Diceros bicornis minor: one gene and its partner. The protein of the gene in region 2 interacts with the protein of the main gene of each other region in a pairwise test. Links are inferred from orthologs where the notes say so. Each region holds a gene or a part of one and is shown on either strand. Other genes may lie near its edges.

Region 1 (7,194 bases), on a different chromosome or scaffold from region 2:
CCTGATCTCAGAGCAGGATGATGTATGAGCAGAGCCAGGCTCCTTTGTGTTCCCAACAGACAAGGACATTGACAACATTCAACTAATGAAAATTTTGTTTGCCATTACAATGTCAAGGTTAATCATTCATTTCAAGTAGACTTCCAGCCTTCGTTAAATACATTATGTCCAGGAGTGAATGATGATGTGTATGAATCACAAGGTATGTTTTCCTGTTTTGGAAAGTCTGAATTTTATAGCAGGGACTTGATTTAAATGGATATTTTAATGACAGCATGCTCATTCTAATACTTTACATTATTATCACATCTTCTTTGAGCCCCGCAGCAGCCCAGGTGGATTAGGACTGCTAATCATTACCATTGATCCATTTTGCAGATGTGGTTTAGAGAGATTAAATAACTTGTCCAGTAGCATACGGCTGGTGAGTGATTAAGACAAGAGCCAAATAAGACCATGATGGCATGAACTGTAAGCTTGTTGAGGGCAGGGAGAATGTAAAGGTGTATAGAGTTCCCCTTGGTAACCGAAAGAGAGCCTTGGATGCAATCTGTGCTCAATTCAAGCTGTCAGATGAATGGCTGCGAGAGTTCTAATAGTTTGATTTGGGAGTTGGGAGACTTGGCCTATGAATAAGGAAAGACTATTAAATGTTCTGTATTTTTTCTTTCTAAAATATGAAGATTATTAAGACTGTCCATGTTTTGTTTGTTTGACTGGAGGTCAGAAATATAAATATAACTATATAATTATCTTTTCAGTGTGTATCTGGCAACTTCATCCAAAGTAATTAAAACTGCTTCCACTCATAATGTCTTCAGAATTATAAAGGGAAATTCTCAAGTTGTCAATAGCCTAAAAATCAAGGTATCGTTATCCATGAGATGTTGCTGTTTAAAATAACCTGATTGTTTTACCTAAATCATCAGTAGGTTGATTTAATCTCATTCCTGACTGCAAAATGCAAAGATACTGGAAGTGTCCTAGTAAACATGGAGGAAGACTTATGAGATTTAGTGGCGAGGTAGGAAAGTTATGAATTTCTGGATATCAAAAAATTTAGTATTGCTTCTGATCTCAACAGCCATGTCCATAGGTCCTACATAATTTCTCAAATTTTCCTATACTTACCTCTTCTTCTCATTGTTGAAATGGAGTAAATGATGCTGATGATGACTTAAAGGGATAAACAGCTAAAATGCACTCTGACAAAAGCTGCAGGAGTGCAAGGGAAAAAATAAGGTCTTTATTGTCTAATTGAATTGAATACACCACATTCTTTTAATAGAGATCTAAAGACAGGAATAACATTACTCTCAGAAAGCTGACATTTATTGTTTTCGTTTTGTTCCTTAAATGCCTAACTTGATGCTGTCATGCCAAGACAGAGAAGAGTACTTCAAACAGTAACTGCTATCTTCTTTTTCTTGTGTTCTCCGTCACCTTCTATCCTATGCTGCTACATTGGTTAGTTACCTTCTGCATCAAAACATCTTCATTTCTCATAAACCCACAGAAAAAAGTCAACACACTCAAAGATCAGAGAACACACATTCTCTTTCCAGGCCTTTTTTTTGGGCACAAGACTGTAATGTTGGAGAAATGTGCTAGATTTTGAGAGTTTTGAATTTATTTCTCCCTTCTAGTGTTATCTACATTATATATCTACACATATAATGTAGGTAATGTTTATATATCTATAAAAATTTTATATTTGTTTATATAAATGTTTATATATATATAAAACATTCAAACTTTGACACCTGAAGAACTTGTTAAAAACTCAAATTCCTGCACTCTACTCATAGAGATTTCTGCTTCACGTTCTGAGAAACCATCAGGAATCTGCCTTTTCAAAAAGCATTTCAGAAGAATATCATGCATTTTCTTAAAAAGAAAGTAAACACTGTCATCATCTCTTTTACTCATTTGGCATTTTCCAGTTCTCCAAATGCTTGCACATACATATTCAGTTCTGTGAGGTAGATGGGACTGATTATCCCCATTTTGAGGATAAGAGGCTCAAATTTAGCAATGATTTCCTCAGGGCCTCACTATACACCCTCCCTCCTGCCCATTTCTCTGGGTTCCTCACCTTAGCTGACCTTTGTCTTTTTGAGTGTTGGACTGAAAAAGGGAAGGAGCCCCAAAAGCCAGCCAGTACTGTCTGTGCCCGCCTTCCTCAAGAATGAGACAAGTCTTCTGGTAGCCAAGCAAGGAAAATAATTTTATCTGTGGAATGTGAACATTTCCCTAATTGACAGTGTTACCAATTGATTTGAAGTAATTCTCCTTGCCCCATCCAGATGCACTTTTGAAAATGTATGCAGCTGGCTTCACTTTTGGAGGAGTGTGTATGTATGTGTGTATGTGTATCTTTTTCACCTGTCTTGTTCTGTATTGTTAGAATCCCAAGTTCACTGTCATTCAGCTACACTGAACTGGTGCAGGAGATGTGTGCTCTCCCCTGTCAGGGCACCTTGCCTGTTTAATCCTCCTCCCATCTGTCTGCCCCATAAGCCCCTGTCTGCCTGTGTTATGCCAGGAGGAGCAGGAAAGGTCCAGGCCCCCAGACACAGTAGGGTTGTTTGACACTGCTTGATCTAAACAACCTCACAGGTCTTCATCCTTCTCATTGCCTAAGTGAATTTCTGCTAGGCCCACAGGTTTGTGCCCACGTCTAGAGAATTCCTGGGGCTTCTCCAGGTCCCACATCCATTTTCAGCAGCTTCCAGGGCCTGCATGTTCCATGATCTTTATTAGGGTGTTTCCAGCATACACCTGTCTCTGCTTGGAAATGAAGCATTTAATCTTTTGGCACTACCCTTGATGCTTAGCCAGGTGTCTGTGAAGGGAACGGATTTGCAGACAAGTTGAAGAGAGATGGTGAGTATAACTAATAGCCACTTCCAGACCTTAGCATGACTGGAAAGTGATTACTCCTTTTAGGTTTCCAGAATCTTTCATGCTGCATTTTAACTTGGGTGACATTATCTCCTCTGCTGAGTTCTCTGTAACATCCAGCTGTCATCACAAGCACTCCTGGAGACCTGATTGCACTCCAAAGCTGGTTGTTGACTGCCCTTGCCCACAGTCACCCTCTTACCCCACCTCCATTCTCCTCTCTGTGCAGGGTGCTCACTTGGTCCCTCATTTTAGTGATTGAGTCTGCTTTGCAGCTTTCTGGATAGAACCAAGAAATCTGAGTTCCAAGGATGCAGAAACACCTTTTCCGGTTCCAAAATGAGCTGACAATGGGGCCCAACATGAGGGCATTGTTACTTTCTCCAGGGTCCACTGCCCGCCTTCCTAAACAGAGAATTCTGTGTGCCCCAGCTTGCCGGCGGGAGGGTGGACCGCTTTCTCGCAGGTCCCCCACCGCTAACCCTTTCTTTGCGCCCCGCCTTCTCTGTGCACCCAGGGTCCTTTAACCGCCTGGCTGGTGGTTTTCTCTTGGGGGAGGGACGGGACGGAGCGGACCCGAGCTGCAGTTCCCTTGCTCTGCCTCTGAGAATTTCTCATCCAAACCTCAATCACGTAGGATTGCGTAGAGAGGAGAAAAGGGGAGAGACAGAAGACAGAGAAGGGGGAGAGGGGTGACGGGAGGGAGGGAGGGAGGAGAAGAGTCTGGGAGCAGAGGGCGTGAGGGAGGGGAGGAAGACCCGCGCGCGCTGCGCTTCTCTGCGCTCCGGGAGCCCGGCCCCCCGCCTGGCCGCACCTGGGCGCTCTGGAGCTCCCGGGCGGGTGGGCGAGCAGTGCGGGAGGTACTCCGCGGCCGCCGGCTCTTCGTCCCACCCGCCGCCTCGGTGGCGGTCTTCCCTGCCAGGAGTTTCCTGCGGAGCTAGCGCTCCAGCCGAGCGAGCCGGCCAGGCGGCGGCAGCTCGGCGCGCCCAGAGCCTCAGCTTATGAATGGGACTCTGCCCTGAGCGCTCCCTCCGGGGCGGCTGGGGGCGCCCGGCTAGTCCGCGGCTCTGAGCGGCCACCCGCGCAGCAAGTTGGGCGAGTTGGCGGCAGCCCGCACCTGCTTCCTGGCTCCGGCCCCAGAGCCTGCGTCCGGCCCCGAGGGCCCCGGTTGTGCGTTCGGCTGCCTCCTGCCGTCGCCGCCGGGGGCCTAGGGGCCCCGCCTGTTCCCCCGGCGCCAGACCATGGTGGGCAGCCTCTGCCCGGAGCCGCAGCCGCCTCGAGCCGACGTCGCCCGCAACCAGCCCCCGCCCCACCCGAGCCGACCCGCGGGGGTTCGCAGCGCGCCGGTCACTTCCTTCCTCCGCCGGGATGGGCCGCGCGGGACCGAGTGATCGGCCTCGCGTCCGGCCGGTGATCCTCATCTGATCTGCTGCCTGTGAGCTGCCGACTGCCGGGCCGCGCGAGCCTGGGGAGCCCGGGCAGCGCGGCGATGACCTGATCCCGAGCCCGCCAGGGCACCCCCTCCTTCCCTCCTTTCCTCGCTCCCTCTGAGCCTGTGCGGAGACTGGCTCTGTGTGGCGGCCCGGGCGGACCATGGCCGGGAGCTCCAGTTAAGGGCGTGTGGGCGCCGAGCTGGAGAGGACACCTTCGGCATCGCTGCCTTTTGAGGGGGCTTATTTAAACTACTGAGTCATTCCAGATTTAGGATTCCCTAAATAATCACCAACTGTGCCGTCTTGTGCCAGAAAGCAAGCGGAAAGAGAAAGAGCGCCCGCTCTTGGGACCCCACGTATCCCCGGCGCTCGCCTCTCACGGGTTTCTCCCCGAGGGGTGCTTGGCCCTCGAGGATCTCCCTCCCTCCCTCCCTCCTTCCTTGCCCGTCCCTCCTTCCCTCCCCCCTCCCTCGCCTCCCGCTCTCTTCGCAGCGCTGCCGGCGGGGAGTCGCGCGCACCGCAGCTGGAAACAGCTGCCCCCGCCCCGCGCCCCTACCCCGACTCCGGCTAACCGCTCCCACTTCGCGCCTCTCGGAATTCCAGAACTCGGGCGGCCAGCCCCTGGAGACCCGCAGCCGGTGCGATGCATTCCGTAGACCTTACCCAGCCGGGACTAACCTCCTAATCTCCAGAACTGCGGGCCGCAGGGAGTTAAATTGCTGCCTTCCTCTCCTTCTCTCTTGCGGTTGGTGGCTTGTTTTCTAAAGGAACGTTTTATTCACTTTTTAGTATTTTCTACCGGGGTCACGCTACCCGCCTCGGTCCAGACTCTGCTTTGTAAACGGGTTTTATATGTATGTATGTGTAGATATACTTTGGACACCTTGCAACGCTTGCGCCTCTCCAACCGGGGCACGGCTTGTTGTTTTGGACATCCTTCTTCCCCTTCCACTTGGTACTCCGATCGCAGTGTGACCAAACACCCCACTGCCTCTTGGACGCGGATCGCCTTGGAATGCAAGTTTGGGGTGCAAGAGACTAGTTAACAGGAAGGCCTGGGACCGCCCCGCCCCCGCCGCCAGCGGTTGGGAAGTTTACATCTGGAATTTCACACATTTTGTCGCCACTGCCCAGACTCTGACTAACCTTCTGGGCGCCAGGTTTTCGGTACTGCAGCCTCCTCAAATATTAGCACTGCCTCCCCGCATCTGCCCTGTCCCTCCCGGCCGCCGAGGTCCTGCCCTCGCCCCGGCGGAGCGCGATCCCGAGGGCGCAGTGGAACCCGGGGCCTGGGGCCCGCGCTGAGCAGCTATGGCTGCGGCGATAGCCAGCTCCTTGATCCGGCAGAAGCGACAGGCGAGGGAGTCCAACAGCGACCGGGTATCGGCCTCCAAGCGCCGCTCCAGCCCCAGCAAAGACGGGCGCTCCCTGTGCGAGAGGCACGTCCTCGGGGTATTCAGCAAAGTGCGCTTCTGCAGCGGCCGCAAGAGGCCAGTGAGGCGGAGACCAGGTCAGTAGAAGCCCAGACAGTGGGCTCCCCAGAGGCTGACAACCCCCTCCCCTTCCACAAAGAACCTGGGGGCATCCATGGATGGGAACTAGGATCCTCCTCTTCCATTCTGGCACCCCCTTCTCCCTTAATTTCCAGATATCTCTTTCAGTCACTCTCTTTCAGTTAATAGCTTCTTGTCCCATATTCAGGAAAACACTTTATACATTGATGAAACCACGGTTTGACTAGGATGAGAGTTACATGTATAGATGTTCCTGGTCTGGTATAGCCTGTAGAATCCTGGCTGTGACCACCTCATTCTCTCCCTCTCTCATCCATCCATCCATCCATCCATCCATCCATCCATCCATCCAGTCCTTATACTGCCTACTGAGGACCTAAATATAAATAAACCTTCCTCCCTTTATCTTTCACAACATTTAGCATAGTTCTTGACACATTATAGACACCTAGTAGATACCAGATGAACTTAAATTTATTTTCTTTTTCTAACTCTTCTGCCAGGAACATATGATATTGCATCTTTCAGACATTGTAATTTCTCACCTCCCTATTTTCCCACATATCCTTTACATAAACCTTTTCCTTTCTCTTCCTTCAAGTACTCTCGTGATTCCAAGGGCTCTGCTCATTAACTTTTCTGTCCTATTACTCCCAGCATTTGCACACACATTTACTTTTGGGACATTAAGGGAACAACGTAGTGTCTGCAGTTTGGCCTCAAAAAGTGCAAAGAAAACTTTAGACTTATCAGAGATTTTTCTTGGCATGGGCTTTCTGCAGCTGATTCTCTTCTTTCGCCCCAAACTCAAATGGTTGGTCTTTGATGTGTCTCTATTGACAAAGGGAAATTGGACATCTTGAGTTTCAGAGTGAGTAATTCCCAGCTTAGGCCGGGCCAGCTTAAGAGAATGAAAGCAGAATTGCCTAGGTCTATGCTTCCACCAGACTTTGTTGATCCTCTGGGTGTGGCCCACAGAGTCCTTTGCAATCTGTAGATATTCTGTGCTTACTGTGTACAACTGAAAGGAAATACTGTTTAGAAAGAAAGCTTGCTCTGTGATCAGTTGACCGGTCTAGCTTATCCTCTTTGCAACTCTGTGGTGTTCTCCTGGGTTCCAGGAATGAGGCATATGGGCTAGTGTCATTGGGGGGAGGAAAACACTTGGAAAGTCTGAATGAGCGGGGCTCAAAATTAGTTTAGAAATTTGGGATTAAGTCTTGTGAAGAAGTCATCTCATCTCATCTTTCTGTTGGGTTTTCATGATGTTATTCACGCCATAGTGGGCTCATTTTCCTATTCTGAGATGTTGATAAAATAGTAAATTTCAGGATTAAACAAAA
Region 2 (6,922 bases):
TCTGTGCATGCTTCTAATAGAACTTGGGAAAAAATTAAAAGAATAAAATTGTAATGAACCTTTTCTTGTTGCCCTTTCTGCATCTGCCCAAATTGTTTCTGTTTCACTTAGTGATGCTATAAAAAGAGGATACTCAAAGCTTTCAGGAAATTTCAAGATATTCAAGAAACACATTCAGATAGCTATTGCCTTTAAGTTACTGAATCATTTTAGTTTTTTATATTCTATGAAATACGCATTTTCAATCTTTCTTTCAAATAACTATATCAATTGCTGTATTGAAACTCTGAAGACTTAAAGACATGACTTATCCTGGCTTTGTCAATATTTGTATCTTTCTTACAATCTTCTGCTTTGCAGTCATTTACCAGAATTATAATGCAGCATGAATAAAGCTAAAAAATGACTATTGATTACAGAGAAAGCTTTGTGAAATCATTTAGTCAGTTTCCCCACTTGAGAAATCGGTGAATAAAAATAGGTCAATAGATAAGGATGGAATGGATGTAACACAGTGCTGTGCCTCCCTGGGTTATAAAAAGGGTCAAAAATAAATCCCCATAGAATTCATGTTTTTATACACATAAAATAAAATGATCCTTACCAAATCCCAACTATAAGTCCACCTTTCTACAATCTATTCTTCGTTTTGAAACCACAGGTTTTGAAAGCATAACTTTTACGTTTCCCTGTTTCAGTAAAAGCATTTCCTTGTCACTGCCCCTTTTAACCAAACAGGATGCCCTCATCTTCGGGCTAAAGTGCCTGTTGTCATCCAGGTATTCACTGGGACTTTTGCTGCAACAGCTACTCTCTATTTTCTTACTGTCTCATGCAACCTTACAGCACTTTTCAAAACTGCATTTCATAGTGCACTGAATTCTGTATCCTGGGCCGATTTTTGCTAATAGATGGTGAGACCTGAGTCCACTCTCTCTATTAGTTCCCATTCATAGGAATACCGTCGGGGACACGGGAGGAGGGGGGCGGGGAGGGGAGAGGAGGGGCCCGGAGGAGGCAGAGGGAGGGAAGAAAATACCTTCCCTGAACTGGTACAAGCTCAGCTTCAAACGATATCCTAGGAAAGAAATTAAAGACTTCTTAATTAGTGCAGCAATTAAGCTTTCTTGGTAGCATTTTAATCAGCACAGGCCCTATCAAAGGACAAACAGAACGATTTGCAGGTCTTTGAATTTTAAACAGTCTTATTGATTTCAGCACAATACGTCTTCACAAAACACAGGGAGAATTTTCTAATATCAGTTACAGTACTTTGAGTTTTGCTTATGCAAATTGAGTGCAGGTTGGAGAAGATGAGGTGGAGGGAGAGGACCTGAAACAACCAGAAATGTAAAAACAATAAACAAACAAGACAAAAGCTTTGAAAGCTAAAGATGCAATGGAAACAGTGAGAATTTGAAATGTCTCTAGTTGATTTATCTGTGGTTGTTAAATACTGTTTGCCTTAATCACTGGTAACATTTCTCAAAAAAAAAAAAAAAAGGAAGAAAGAAATCTTAAAAATTTTTTGAGGCTTTTCTTTCCTACGTGTTTTAATTTGCATTATATGCTTTTTCTAATCCTATTGTTTGTTAAAGGGGTAAGTGGTAGTTCCTAGAGACGGTTTAGAGACCTGAGGTGGGGGGGCGCAGGGGGAGGGAAGCTTCCATTCAGGTGGGGGCAGACACCCCGAGCCCTGCTTCTGAATGGAGCACGTGCTGGGAGGCGCAGGGTTCCCAGCAGAAAATTCGGAGTTTGCTTGGACGCAGGGTGGGATTATGGTTTAGTGAGCTATCATTACTCCCTGTTTGTGGCTTCCAAATGTGGCAGGTACAGGCTGAGTGACAGTTTAAGGAAATGTGAGAAATGAGAATGCTAAGGGCAGATTTTCAGCATTTAAATTCGATTTTTTCATTTGTGGGTCTAGAATTTAAAATGAAGAAACTGTAGTTTAGCGTTTTAAAAACTATATCGGAGTTTATTAAAGTTGTGCATGCAATTCCAAAAGAAGATTAGTTTTTCAGGGCTTAATATCTTCTTCCTGTCTTCTGCTCATTAACATAGTAATTTGGCATTTTTAAAAAAGGTAATATTTTCCAAAACACGTATAAACACTTAAAAGACGTGTTTTGATGTATGGAATATATATCAAATTCCTATTTTTAATTGCGGACAGATATGAGGAGTGAGAAGTTAATATAACTTACTTCTGAATATATTAAAATACATTGGGTAACTAGGCCAAACAACTGTGTAAAGTTTAGTTATCTTTGTAAAAGTTTATCTACTTTTTAGCAAAATCAATTTTCTGAATTCAAATTTCTGAATTCTGAGGCCTCCTGATATGACTGCTATGCCCCAAAAAGTTTAGCAGAAACTTACACAAATTAGTCAAAAGTGTCCTATTTCTCTGTAGACATTCCCTGCACCTTTTGACATCAAACTTCAAAAAGTTGAAAGAATTAAAATAATAAAGAGAAATATGATAATAATCTCGACATCAAAATGGCAGAAACTTCATTATGAAATTTCCCAACACTGTGAACCTGATGTTAATAGTTTATTTTCGAAATCTGTCAAGTGCTAAAGCATTGTTTCTCTCTTGTGAAGTTAATGAACATGTGTAGACAGGTTTAAAGCCTAATTATTTAAGATTCCTAGAGCTATAAACAGAGAACAGACTTGATCTATGTTCAAATCATATATTGGTCAAAGATCCTTGAATAAATACCTCCATGCAACAAGTTAGAAAAGGGAAGAAAAGAAGAGAGCAAGGCCAAGAGGAAGAGAGGCAGTTTCCATTCAGCCTGGTGTGGTATTGAAGCAGAGCTGCGCTGTTTGTGGTCAGCTAGCCAGCTTTGTTTTCTTCATTATTTGCAAAACACATTTTCACTGACAAATCGAAAAGAACTTTCCCAAAATATTGATACTTTTCAAACATGAAAAAAATATTGTTATTCATGTAACACTAGCAGCTAGCCTTGGGTCTTAAAGGACGTGAAGATAGTTGGTTACTGTGCAAGACAGGTGAATTAATTATCGAGTTTTCAGTAAGAAAAATCAGTGTTTTCTTGTTTTCCACTTTCTAAATCTTCAAGGGTGCCTGGTCTCTTCAAAGTCTGGTATTGGTATAATAAGCATTTCTGACCAGCCTTTGGGGCACAAGTGAAGTTATTGTGAGCGATCCACATCAGGGCAAGCAATTCTTTCTTTCCATAATCTCTCAGGAAATAACGAACTAAATACAGAGCATTCCACTATATTTAAGCGGTTTCAAACTGACTTTTTCCCCACAACTTGAAAACTGTCCTGGAATTTTCACTATCTATATAAAAATAAATAATTTAATAGGTAGATAAAAACAATCAGATGCATAAAACAAACGCTTTGCTTACATGTGAATTTTCCTCAAAATACTTTCTTAATAATTATGAAGTGAGGGGATGTTTTCATTGATATCTCATTGGAAAAAACGAGCGGAGATACATCCTAAATCCTTGAAGGAGACCTCGGAGCGCTCTGGCTCCTCTTTAAGTTGGCAGGCGATTGCTTAGAAGGTTTTGGAAAAAATGACGAGTCGTCGCGGACGAAATGGAATTATTAGACATGCAATCTAACGGTAGTAGAAGAGAAATAGATCGCCCTCTCCTTTTCCGATCGCCACTTCTGTGTCCCCGGCTTTTCCTTTCCGTCCCTCCCATAGTTTCTTTCCTTATCCTCCCCCACCCCTCCTCCTTTCCTTGCTCACTCGCTTTTCCTCTGTCTCGCGCTCTCGGAGTCTCTGCTCCGAGTTCCTGGTTGGATAATTTGGGTTAATACTAGTGAGTGAGGTTTCTGCGGCTTCAAAGGGTATTTCAAGTTTCCGGAGCTCCTCCCCTCTGCACCGTGTGACAACAACAACTCGTCCAGCCGGCAGCCTGCACTTTTCAGCTCATTTTCTCTCTGTCATTCCCCTCTCAATCTTTGATCAATGTACTTGCCAGGGAGAACCCAAGTCCTTCAAACCTCCTCCTTTTCACCTTCATCCTTAACTTTGTGCTAGAGCGGGACCCACACAACAACAGCCGACCCTCCCCGCCCCCGCCCCCCCCCCCCCCAAACCAGCCCCCGATCCCAGCCCCCGGAGAGGACTCGCATTTCGACTTGCGGGACACTTTTGTGCGTTTCTCTCCAGAGCGCCTCTCGCGCTCGCCCCTCCTGCGCTCTCTCTCTCTTACCCTCACCTCCTTTTTCCCCCTTCTCTCTCTTGCTCCTTCTCGTTCTCTCCCGGAGTTGTTGTTGTTGTTGTCCCCTAGCTCCTTCTCCCCCTATTTTCCCCCTTCCCCTCCCCGGGGTGTGTGGCAACTTTTCCCCTCGCTTCTCCTCCTTCTGTTTCCCCTTATATGTGACCATGGCAGTGCCGGCGGCTTTGATCCCTCCGACCCAGCTGGTCCCCCCTCAACCCCCGATCTCCACGTCTGCTTCCTCCTCCGGCACCACCACCTCCACCTCTTCGGCGACCTCGTCTCCGGCTCCGTCCATCGGGCCCCCGGCGTCCTCAGGGCCAACTCTGTTCCGGCCGGAGCCCATCGCTCCGGCGGCGGCGGCGGCGGCGGCCACAGTCACCTCCACCGGCGGCGGCGGCGGCGGCGGCGGCAGCGGAGGCGGCGGCGGCAGCGCGGGCAACGGAGGCGGCGGTGGCGGCGGCGGCGGCAGCAGCAACTGCAACCCCAGCCTGGTGCCCGCGAGCGGCGGCGGCGGCGGCGGCGCCTCCAGCACCCCCATCAACGCGAGCACCGGCAGCAGCGGCAGCAGTAGCAGCAGCAGCAGCAGCAGCAGCAGCAGTAGCAGCAGCAGTAGCAGCAGCAGCAGCAGCTGCGGCCCCCTCCCCGGGAAACCCGTGTACTCGACCCCGTCCCCAGTGGAAAACACCCCCCAGAATAATGAGTGCAAAATGGTGGATCTGAGGGGGGCCAAAGTGGCTTCCTTCACGGTGGAGGGCTGCGAGCTGATCTGCCTGCCCCAGGCTTTCGACCTGTTCCTGAAGCACTTGGTGGGGGGCTTGCACACGGTCTACACCAAGCTGAAGCGGCTGGAGATCACGCCCGTAGTGTGCAATGTGGAACAGGTTCGCATCCTGAGGGGACTGGGCGCCATCCAGCCTGGAGTGAACCGCTGCAAACTCATCTCCAGGAAGGACTTCGAGACCCTCTACAATGACTGCACCAACGCAAGGTAAAGAGCGGAGGACAGCCTCCGCCACCCTGGGTCCCTTCCCACATGCCTCCTTGCCCTCTCCTCGCTCCCTTCCCGGCGCCGCTTGCTCCGCGCGCCCGCGAGCCGCGCGCCCCGGCGAAAGCGGCCCTCTCCTCCCTTTCCTCCGGGCTCTCCAGCCGCTCTCGACCGTCTAGGAAGTTGGCACCTCACCCTGCCCAGATCCCGCTCTTCCGGCCTGATCCGCCCCTTGCTCGCCTGGGCGCGGGGGCTTGGCTGCTGTGGGACGCGGGAACCCCAAGCCTCGGGGCGGAGGGGGCGGGAAGGAGGAGCACGGTGCCTTAACGGGAGCCACAGCCCCCTTCCTGGGCCGCGCCAGCGTCTGGGGACCCCTCGCAGCGCTGCTGCCCGCGTGTGCGCTCCCTCGGACCCGGGTTCCACCGCGAGCCGCAGGGCACCGGCGGGGCTGGTTGGCGGCGCCGAGCGGCGTCCCGGGGGCGGGGAGAGGTCGTGACCCTGCCCGGCAGGGTTCGGGGAGCGCCAAGACGCTCTCGGGTGAGGGGCCCGCGAGGAAGCCTAAGGAGTGGGCCGCTTCCAGGTCGAGAGGGGAACGACCTCAGAGGCTGAGAGGCCTGGGGCAATCCCGGGGGACCCGCAGCCAGTTCAGCCCCGAAGCCCCGAGAGAAAGCCCGCCGAGGGGAGGGGTCTGTGTGTGCGCGCATGTGTGCTTGTGTCCGCGTGTGAGCGTGTGCGTGTGCAAAGGAGATAAAGGGGCACATTTGCCCCAGGGCAGATTCGAGAGGGGACTAGCAGGTTTCCTTCTGTAGGGGGAGGTGACCGGGTGCCTGACTCTTGGAAGCTGAACTGCAAAGATGGGGAAGAAGAACACACCTCGCTCGCTCTCTCTCCCACCAAACTGTTTTTTTTTCTTTTCTTTCTTTCTTTTCTTTTCTTTTTCTTTAAAGGTTAGTAGCGCACGCAGTGAGCAGGCGCAGGCTTTGCACTGGGATGCTCTGCGGACCTGAATACCCGGTGCCGTAGCTTCCCCAGCCTCGCAAAGCGCGCGAACCCTGGAGGCCGCAGGACCGGGAGCCCGGCCAGACCAGTTTTATGCTAATGAACGCTCACTGGGGGAGGATCTACCAAGAGGGGGCGGGAGTGGGGTAACTTGTCAGTTTCGGGGTAGAAATGATCATTCCACCCGCTTTCCCAGTTCCGCCTTGCCCCACCATTCTCCGCAGAGGGAAAAGTTCAGAGATGCCGGGAGAAAGCGAGTAGGGAAAGTTGGAGACCAGAAGCGGGCGCGTGGGAACTCCGCGCGAATGCGCGGCGACTTCGGTACCCTCCAAATAAGTTTAACGACCGGGAGAAGGAAAGGAGTTTTACTCTTTTAGATTGTCTGTCCTAGTAGAGCTAAGGAAACTGAGATGGGAAGGAAAGAGGGGTAGGACGAGACCAGAAGGAAACCGGGGTGAAAAAGCCCTTAGCTACTTCTTCCATGGAAGAAGACTCTTGGCTAGTGCCCCTAGAAGGCTGTAAGACGAAAAAGACTCAAACTCCAACCCAGCAAAGGTCCTATCCCGACCTAGCCAGAAACTCTTTTCCGTGTTTATCTGCCATTCTTTGCACGGGGTACATGGGTGTGTGTTTGGGTTTTGAACGTCATTTCTACTATTTTTGGGTGAATACTGAGAACGCGCGCGTGTATGTGCGCGCGCGTGCCCAAGAG

The links.
Region 1: the proteins of DACH1 (region 2) and FGF12 interact in binary tests that used the Homo sapiens proteins (3 or more experiments, as listed by UniProt). The two-hybrid records come from large-scale screens. The link is inferred for Diceros bicornis minor from reciprocal best matches to the Homo sapiens genes DACH1 and FGF12.

What each region holds. Positions count from the first base shown.
Region 1 is NC_080754.1:32,517,033-32,524,226, forward strand, and holds the start of FGF12 (fibroblast growth factor 12), read left to right. Parts: upstream 1-4,168; 5' UTR 4,169-5,648; coding exon 5,649-5,847; intron 5,848-7,194. UniProt on the Homo sapiens protein: Involved in nervous system development and function. Involved in the positive regulation of voltage-gated sodium channel activity. Promotes neuronal excitability by elevating the voltage dependence of neuronal sodium channel SCN8A fast inactivation.
Region 2 is NC_080748.1:52,105,661-52,112,582, reverse strand, and holds the start of DACH1 (dachshund homolog 1), read left to right. Parts: upstream 1-3,869; 5' UTR 3,870-4,390; coding exon 4,391-5,214; intron 5,215-6,922. UniProt on the Homo sapiens protein: Transcription factor that is involved in regulation of organogenesis. Seems to be a regulator of SIX1, SIX6 and probably SIX5.